Xenopus tropicalis: one gene and its partner. The protein of the gene in region 1 interacts with the protein of each later gene in a pairwise test. Links are inferred from orthologs where the notes say so. Each region holds a gene or a part of one and is shown on either strand. Other genes may lie near its edges.

Evidence for each region.
Region 2: the proteins of fhl2 (region 1) and id3 interact in binary tests that used the Homo sapiens proteins (3 or more experiments, as listed by UniProt). The link is inferred for Xenopus tropicalis from reciprocal best matches to the Homo sapiens genes FHL2 and ID3.

Annotation. Positions count from the first base shown.
Region 1 is NC_030678.2:111,696,060-111,699,433, reverse strand, and holds part of fhl2 (four and a half LIM domains protein 2), read left to right. Parts: intron 1-2,316; coding exon 2,317-2,486; intron 2,487-3,035; coding exon 3,036-3,222; intron 3,223-3,374. UniProt on the Homo sapiens protein: May function as a molecular transmitter linking various signaling pathways to transcriptional regulation. Negatively regulates the transcriptional repressor E4F1 and may function in cell growth.
Region 2 is NC_030678.2:78,344,305-78,348,796, forward strand, and holds id3 (DNA-binding protein inhibitor ID-3), read right to left. Parts: upstream 2,661-4,492; 5' UTR 2,482-2,660; coding exon 2,179-2,481; intron 1,906-2,178; coding exon 1,852-1,905; 3' UTR 1,834-1,851; intron 1,337-1,833; 3' UTR 594-1,336; downstream 1-593. UniProt on the Homo sapiens protein: Transcriptional regulator (lacking a basic DNA binding domain) which negatively regulates the basic helix-loop-helix (bHLH) transcription factors by forming heterodimers and inhibiting their DNA binding and transcriptional activity.

The DNA of each region.
Region 1 (3,374 bases):
AATAAGATATTATATTATTTATTGTAAATGATTTACAATAAGTATATTGTATATATTATAATATAATGCTTTAAAATGACATATTTCACCAGCAGCCTCCAATTATGAAGGAAATATAGTAGCTGTTTTCAATTTCTAGAAATGGCTGCTCTGTACACTGAGCAGAGGCACTGCATGAACAGAAAGGGAGATGCAATTAAATGATTACGACGGGAAAGGGATAAATATATTTTTCATCCAGATGGAGCATTTGGGAGGGTAACCCATTAGTTCCTAAGGTCTTTACCGTTACATCCTGTACACTCCATTTCTATTTCTGCCAGGTTAGAATCTGCTATTCCTCTGGGTGGAAAAAGAGGGAAAGACTTTGCACATGGAATGTGCAAAATGTGCAGTTTCACATGTTTCTAATTTAACTTGACCACCAATGCCTAGGCTGTAGTATGTCTGGTACAGACCTGCTGGGTTACTGTATATGTAGTGGATTGGATTTTATTTACTTTTTTATTTGAGTAGGAAAAATCCTGGGGAACTGATTTATAACAAGGAAGCCAATTACATAGCATGTGCCTCAAAAATCAGTTCAGACATAGGTTTTAGTCTGCAGTCCTTAAGCACCTATTATAAATATCCCTTTTTATAATTAAAATTCAATGGGAAGCCTGCAGTAGCAGCCAGCTGGTGTCACAGCGCTGTGATGGGGATCTTCCTGTAAAATTCTGTTCCTCATTTGTTCTAATTTAGGAGAATAATTATGATCACACGCCATGCTATTTACAACTTAGTATCATTCTGTCTACTTTTCAGGCAATTTAGAGGTAAAACTGCATTTCCTGAAGCTATTTATACTCATAGGCTTCTGCTAATACAACATACCATATATCATGTAATTCAGTACAATGTACACATTTTGCATTAAAGACAATGCCAGACTGGAGTGCTGGGGTGCAAGTGGAATGTTCCCAGGATCAGTAATGATCTTGTGGTGTCCCACATTTCTTGTGGTCCTTCCCTTTGAATATAACAACGTCACAGATATTTTATACAGCATTGTATCAGCAGATCAGTAGTAGTTACAAGAGTATCTAGAGGCAGCAAAAAAGTGTCCACCACACAGTAAATGGATTAAGGATACCAAATCAAGCTACCCAGATCTTCAGGTTGATCCCCCTACCTACAGCATTCAGTGCAACAGGGGAACTATTACCTTAGAGAAGAGGATTTTAATTTCTCTCTTTATTGGTTTTCCTTTGACCCTTTATTTGTATTTCTGCCCATTTGCCTTGACTAATTTGCCCAGGTATTCTATTACAGATTTTTATTTATGTTTCAAAAGAGAAGAGCATCAGTGGTGGTCAGGGCTGCCATCAGAAAGTTTTGGGCCCTATACAAGTTATTTATATGGGCCCCCCATGAACACAAGTGTGCGGGACCAAAATCTTGTGTGTGTAATATAAACAGCTGATGTTACTCTGTAATAAGCAGTTCATATAGAGTTCCATTAATTAATATACTAATTAACAGTAGGTTTATTGGGGGTGAAGTTTGCCCTAAGTTCATGCCCCTGCTCTGCGCTGTCATTGGCCCCAGAAGAACAGTCCCCCTGTCCCCCCTGATTGCTACCCTGCTGGTGGTAGTGTGGGGCTGTAGCAATGGATTAAACTTGTAGCTATATAAGAATAGTTCAGACATGTGCTGGGCAATAATAACTAGTAAGTTAAGCCATGGCCCACTATTTTTTCAAATTTACTTTAAAAAATTTGGAGGGCAACCATGGAGTCTCAGCTTTGATACTTCAACTTCCATTACAAGGCAGACAAAAGTAATGTTAGCAATTGTTCTTATTGTGGGTGTAATTGCCTGCTCTTTATATAACATTGAATGGATCATTTGTAAATGTGCAAAATCTTGTATTTTTTAACCACATCTTGTTCTTTTTTTTTCATTACAAAAAGTGAATGAAAAACAAATTACTTTGTAATGATTTTGGAGCAGTATTTATATAGTACAGGTATCGGACCCCTTATCCGGAAACCCATTATCCAGAAAGTTCTGAATTACAGAAGGGCCGTCTCCCATAGACTCCATTTTAATCAAATAATTCACATTTTTAAAAATGATTTCCTTTTTCTCTGTAATAATAAAACAGAACCTTGTACTTGATTGCAACTAAGTTATAATTAATCCCCATTGGAGCCAAAATAATGCTATTGGGTTTAATTACTGTTTAAATTATTTTATTAGCAGACTTAAGGTAGGAGATCCAAATTACGGAAAGAGTTTCCCTGGACTCTAACTGTGCAACCTCTGTTACAGGAACTCGCAAGATGGAGTATAAAGGTAACAGCTGGCATGAGACCTGCTTTATTTGCTCCCGTTGCCAACAACCCATAGGGACAAAAAGCTTCATTCCAAAGGATAATCAGAATTTCTGTGTGGCATGCTATGAAAAACAATTTGCAATGCACTGCGTCCAGTGCAAGAAGGTACTGGAAATGTCATAATTATTATAGAACCAAAAAATGTATATGTATAATACACAAGAAAACACAATAGTGTTTAAAGCCTGTGAAATAAAGCCTGATTGTAAGTACAGCAAATACAAACTTCAACGCCCCCATTGTCTTTCTACTGAAATAAGTGCTTTTCCAAGAATGACAAAGCTAACGAGTGAAAAATTTACTTATACGCAAACAAGATATAATAATGATAAAATATTATTATTATTATTATTATTATTATTAAGTATTAATATCAATAAATATTATTTAACTTAGTGCAGACACTGATGGCCAGCACAAGGCCTATATTGCAGAGTTTACAGTTTTATAGTTTCAGTATTTGAATTTCAAGCAGTGTGCATGATGTACACTACAAAAAACAAGTCAATTGGCCATCCAGATCTGACTTAATGACCAGCTTTAAACTCCATTATTTCCTTTCTACCATTTTGGATATTTAGTACTTTTCTTGATGATGAATTGATTTTGCTGAAAAGACTTGAGACTGATTCTTTTAATTCTATTGTCATATAGGCCATCACTACTGGAGGTGTTACATACCGAGATCAGCCTTGGCATAAGGAATGCTTTATTTGTACAGGATGCAAGAAACCGCTATCTGGTCAACGCTTCACCTCTCGTGATGAATTTGCCTACTGTCTGAATTGCTTCTGCAACCTGTATGCCAAGAAATGTGCTGGATGCACCAACCCTATAAGTGGTACATGTGTTGGACTATAGTTTATGTTCTCTTTTAAATTACTAATAGCACTAATTACTAATTAGGGGCAGAATGATTAAAATGTGAGTTTACAGCTTAATACATATAAACTCACCAACGTTCTATTCATTCCAGTGGGATTTTTTAAAAAC
Region 2 (4,492 bases), about 33 Mb from region 1:
TAAGTGCCAAAATATGGTGGGCAGCGAATTACTTTTTATTACTGCAAGCTGATAATTTAGGGCTAACTGTATGTACAGGTATACCAATTACACTACATTATGGTCAGTTCTAATGTTTCCAAGACTACTGTGTTCATTTAATAGGAAAACATATTCAAGGCAAGCAGTTGTATTCCCATGTTATATTTCTGTTTTCCCCACAACATACACAGTATACATGTAAACCCACCAACATATAGTATATTTGTTGATGAACAAACTTGGGGCAGATCTAATATTGGCTACACAAACACTGAATGCAACCCAACAAGACCAAGTACTGTAACTAGTATCCACCTGGCTTTTGGAAGGTTGCTCATCATTACCCAACAAACCAATATCATTTAAGCTATTCATTGAAATCGGGGGTGACTTTCAATCCCCATATTTTACACTAGGAGTACTTTTTAGTTTTAGGATGTCAAGCAACACAAATCACCAAAAACCAAATACAACTAATGGCATCACTAAGCCCCATTTGTAAGGATTTATTTTACAGACTATTCTTAACTAATGTAACACCCAGTCTAAAAATAACAAATCAATAATATTTCTTTTAAAAATAATGTAATTTTATTTACACATAAACAAAAATAACAACTTTTATAAAAAGTTTTGTGTGTTTTTTCTTCAATCAGAAACTGTGCAGTTCCAACTCAGTCTTCTCTACTTTAGAGAGTGGGATATTCTGGGGTCAGAGCCACAGATTAAGGCTTTCACGTTCGAACATAGCTAGATACATGAAAGGCTATTTTATACAAAAATATATATACAGCTCTTATTAACAAAGAGTAAAAACAAGGGTTAAACAGAAAGCGGAATATTTTCAGTCATGGATATTTAACTAGGACTTTAGAAATATAGAAAATGGCTAAAAATGGAATTGTTTGGAGTTATTTTTGGTCCCTAGAAGGAATGTCACCATTACAGTAAGTTACAGTTGCCTGTTACATTAAGGCATCGGCTTAGCAATAATTAAGCCTTTAAAAATTCATGGAAATAAAAGTCTTTAAGATATTTGCTAGCAAACACTGGAATCAATGTTGGAGGTCTCAGAGGAATTTCATTAAAATGATTCCCAGTGAAATTAAATGGAATTAGTAAATTATATCTCGTCCATAAAATTGTTGTGTTTTTTTCTTGTTTAAAGTGAAGGATGAAAGTTCAAAGTGATGATCAGAAATGATGAGATGCTGTAGGTCTGTCTGGGTCCCAAAGGGTTAAATAGTCTTGCAATCTGAATTCTTCTGCTTCATGGAAATGGGAGGATTTATTCCTCTCTCAGAGTTTCCCACACCTGCAGAGAAAGAAATGTGCATGTATATTAATGGCAGTAAGAGGAGGGAGGGGGAGCAGACTGCCTGGCGCCTGGGAGGAAATCAACCCTGCCTGTGGGCCTGATAACATCTTTCAACTGCTAATTGAGAGTGTGAGAGAAACCAAAGAGTCACTAGCTGAGCACCACACATAACAACAGGCTCCCTTATACCAACTACAACTCCCAGCATTCTGTCTGAAGTATAGAAATGGGTTTTAAAGCAGACGGGAGTGACAAGTAACTTTATAATTTGCAAATATGGCTTCATACTAAAAAGTCTTCTTTAGTTTTTGTTTTTATAAACAAAGTTCATAATAGCATAATTTACTTATAAATAATAAATGTCTCTGATAACTCACAGTGTATTTATGTGCCATACATACAAGTTAGATCACAGATGAAGGGACAGGGCAGTGGAACTTTAAATGCAGTGGTACTTAATACTAGTCTATCAGACAGCAGAGACTGATACTTACCAGAGAGGTTAGAAGAGGTCAGTGGCAGACACTGGCGTCCCCTTGTGTTGCCAATTCTGAGAAATCAGATTTCTGTAAATTGAAAACAAAAAGTGATTTAGAAACTTGCTACCAACCTGCTTACAGCACATATCATTCAGAGAGACAGTCACATTTAGTCTGGATGGGACACTAGAGACTTGTAGGAATATTACACCAACTATGGTTGGGATCTGCATGGAACCAACATGGGAATTGATGAACAAGGAGAACTAGGGGACAACAGGCTGGTCATACTGGCAACACTACTTTTACAGCTAAAGGGGAGAACAGGTGCATAAGGTGATATGGAGAAAAGGTACATACCTGCAAGTTAAGGATGCTGTTTTGTTGCTGATCTTCCCCCAGGACTATCTGCAGGTCAAAGATGTAGTCGATGACATGCTGCAGAATCTCAACTTGGCTGAGCTTGCTTCCTTGGGGGATCCCTGGCACCAACTCTTTTAGTTTGGAGTAGCAGCCGTTCATATCGTACAGAAGTCCCATGGGCTCATCCACACCTGGTCCCTTATGGCTGCTGCCCCTGGCAATGCTTAGACTCTGCTCAGACAAGCAACAGACAGCCTGGTAGCAGCTTGACATGGACCTCACTGGGCTGATGGCTTTCATGGTGGCGTCAGAGATGGTTGCTAAAGTTTTAAGAGGTGGATCGAGATCAAATCTCTGGATGTTTTCGATTCCTGTAGGCTTCACAAAACAGCGTTCAAGAAAATTCTTCTGGATCTTGGGGATTCGGAGTTCTGCTATCACGTTTGTAATAGAAAGCAAACCTTGAGCTTGGTTGTCGTCCTTAATCCACAGCTGCGTGTGTAAATGTCAAACCGTCTTCCCTGTGGCTCTTTTATAGTCACACTCACCCCCCCTCCTCCCCCATGCAAATGAGACCTCCCTCTGCCTCCCTCCCCCCGCCCTCCTCTGCTTCATAATATTGTCATAACAGCTGGTTGGACACTTTCAAACAGCTTCTCCTAAGGGCTGGGGACTGTGTCATTAATGCCACGGGGGAGGGGGGAGCTCCTTTACACAACTTTCTATGAGCGCCCACTCACCGTTTCAGTGGGAAATCATTATATATAGCGATACACATTGATCCGAACGTTATTCAATAAACACTTGATATAATGTTTTTCTGAATTAGCGAGAAAATGGTCTATGCCACGTAAACGCGAGGGTTAAATCCATTACCATTGTATTTTATAATATATTTGTGTGTGTACAAAATGAAACGTTATTTTATAATAAATGGAGTAAAATTAGCCAGCGATGTTTATGTTCGCGGGTAAATCATTTCTCCCCCCCCCCAGAGAAGCAGCTCCCAAATGGAACCAATGAGCCCTTTGCTCTTTATCTGTTTATCCTATGTACAGAGTGCGGAGGCTTTTCTTCTTTGCCTTCTTTGTACGGGCTGTTTTCTTAAGTGTAAAAGCCATTATTCTGTATCTTTTCTCTGCCCTCTCCCCCCTCCCCTGCTGTATGACCTCCAGACTTTCTGGCGTCAGGATTATTATCCTGTGACCAGAAAAGGAACAGGCTGGGAACTGAATGAGCAAAACAGACAGAATGGACTGGCTATAGATTTCTATTCAAGGCTTTTATAGAGAGAAAACGTTTATAGATAATTGCACATACCGACACATTTGCACACTTACATTCCCACACATATAGTTACACATATCTACACCCTAAACAAGGCACAGTCTGTATATAAACTCTTATACACATAGAAATCATTTTAGGGTTTACAGTATTGTTATTACAATAAAATGTATCTATAGTTAGGAAGTTATTCAGCACTAAATAGTAATATTGCATTTATTTATATAGCACCCCAAATGTACATAGTGCTTTACAAGGCATAAACACAAACAGGGGTACTGTTATTATAAATGAGAGTGAAAATAAATACTTAAGTGTAGGGAGTTTTAATAGAAAGTTGGAATGGAGGTCTCTGTCCCAAAGAGCTTACAATCTATTATAGTGTAATATTCAGAAGTCTTAAATTTAATGTACAATCTTGTTACTTAATGAAACTGTAGGTTCTGTGAATGCTGTTCTCAAAGCCATAAGTCAAGGGGACTACCTGTTAACATACCCCTTGCCTATGCCCATTCTCCCCAACACTGTGTTGCATTCTGCCCAAGTAAGTAGCTTGAAACAATAGCAATTAGTTAGGGCCACAACAGGTGACTCGGTTTCCAATGTGGCCCTGGCCTAAGTATAGTGCAATGAGCAACTGTAGTTAAAGTAGCCATAACTTTTTTTTTAACACAGGAACATCAAATGACTGTACCACAACATAACACTTTATTGGGATGGGAATAAAATTCTAGTTGTTTTTTTTTATTGCATTTAGGGAACTAAACAACTAAAGATGGCCATACTTATTTGTATTTATTGCTATACTTTGTATTTATCTATTACTATCTTAATAACCCCGTTTGTATTAATGTATTCTACTGTACAGCGCTGTATACATAAGTAGCACTTTATAAATAAAGATTTTCATACATTACTAGTTTTGGTGAGGCAGTGGGGCCAGTTTTGGTCTCACTGCCTAACCACCTGGGTATGTATAACACTTCAGGGCCAGTTTCGACAGACCATCCTGCTATCCCTGCCA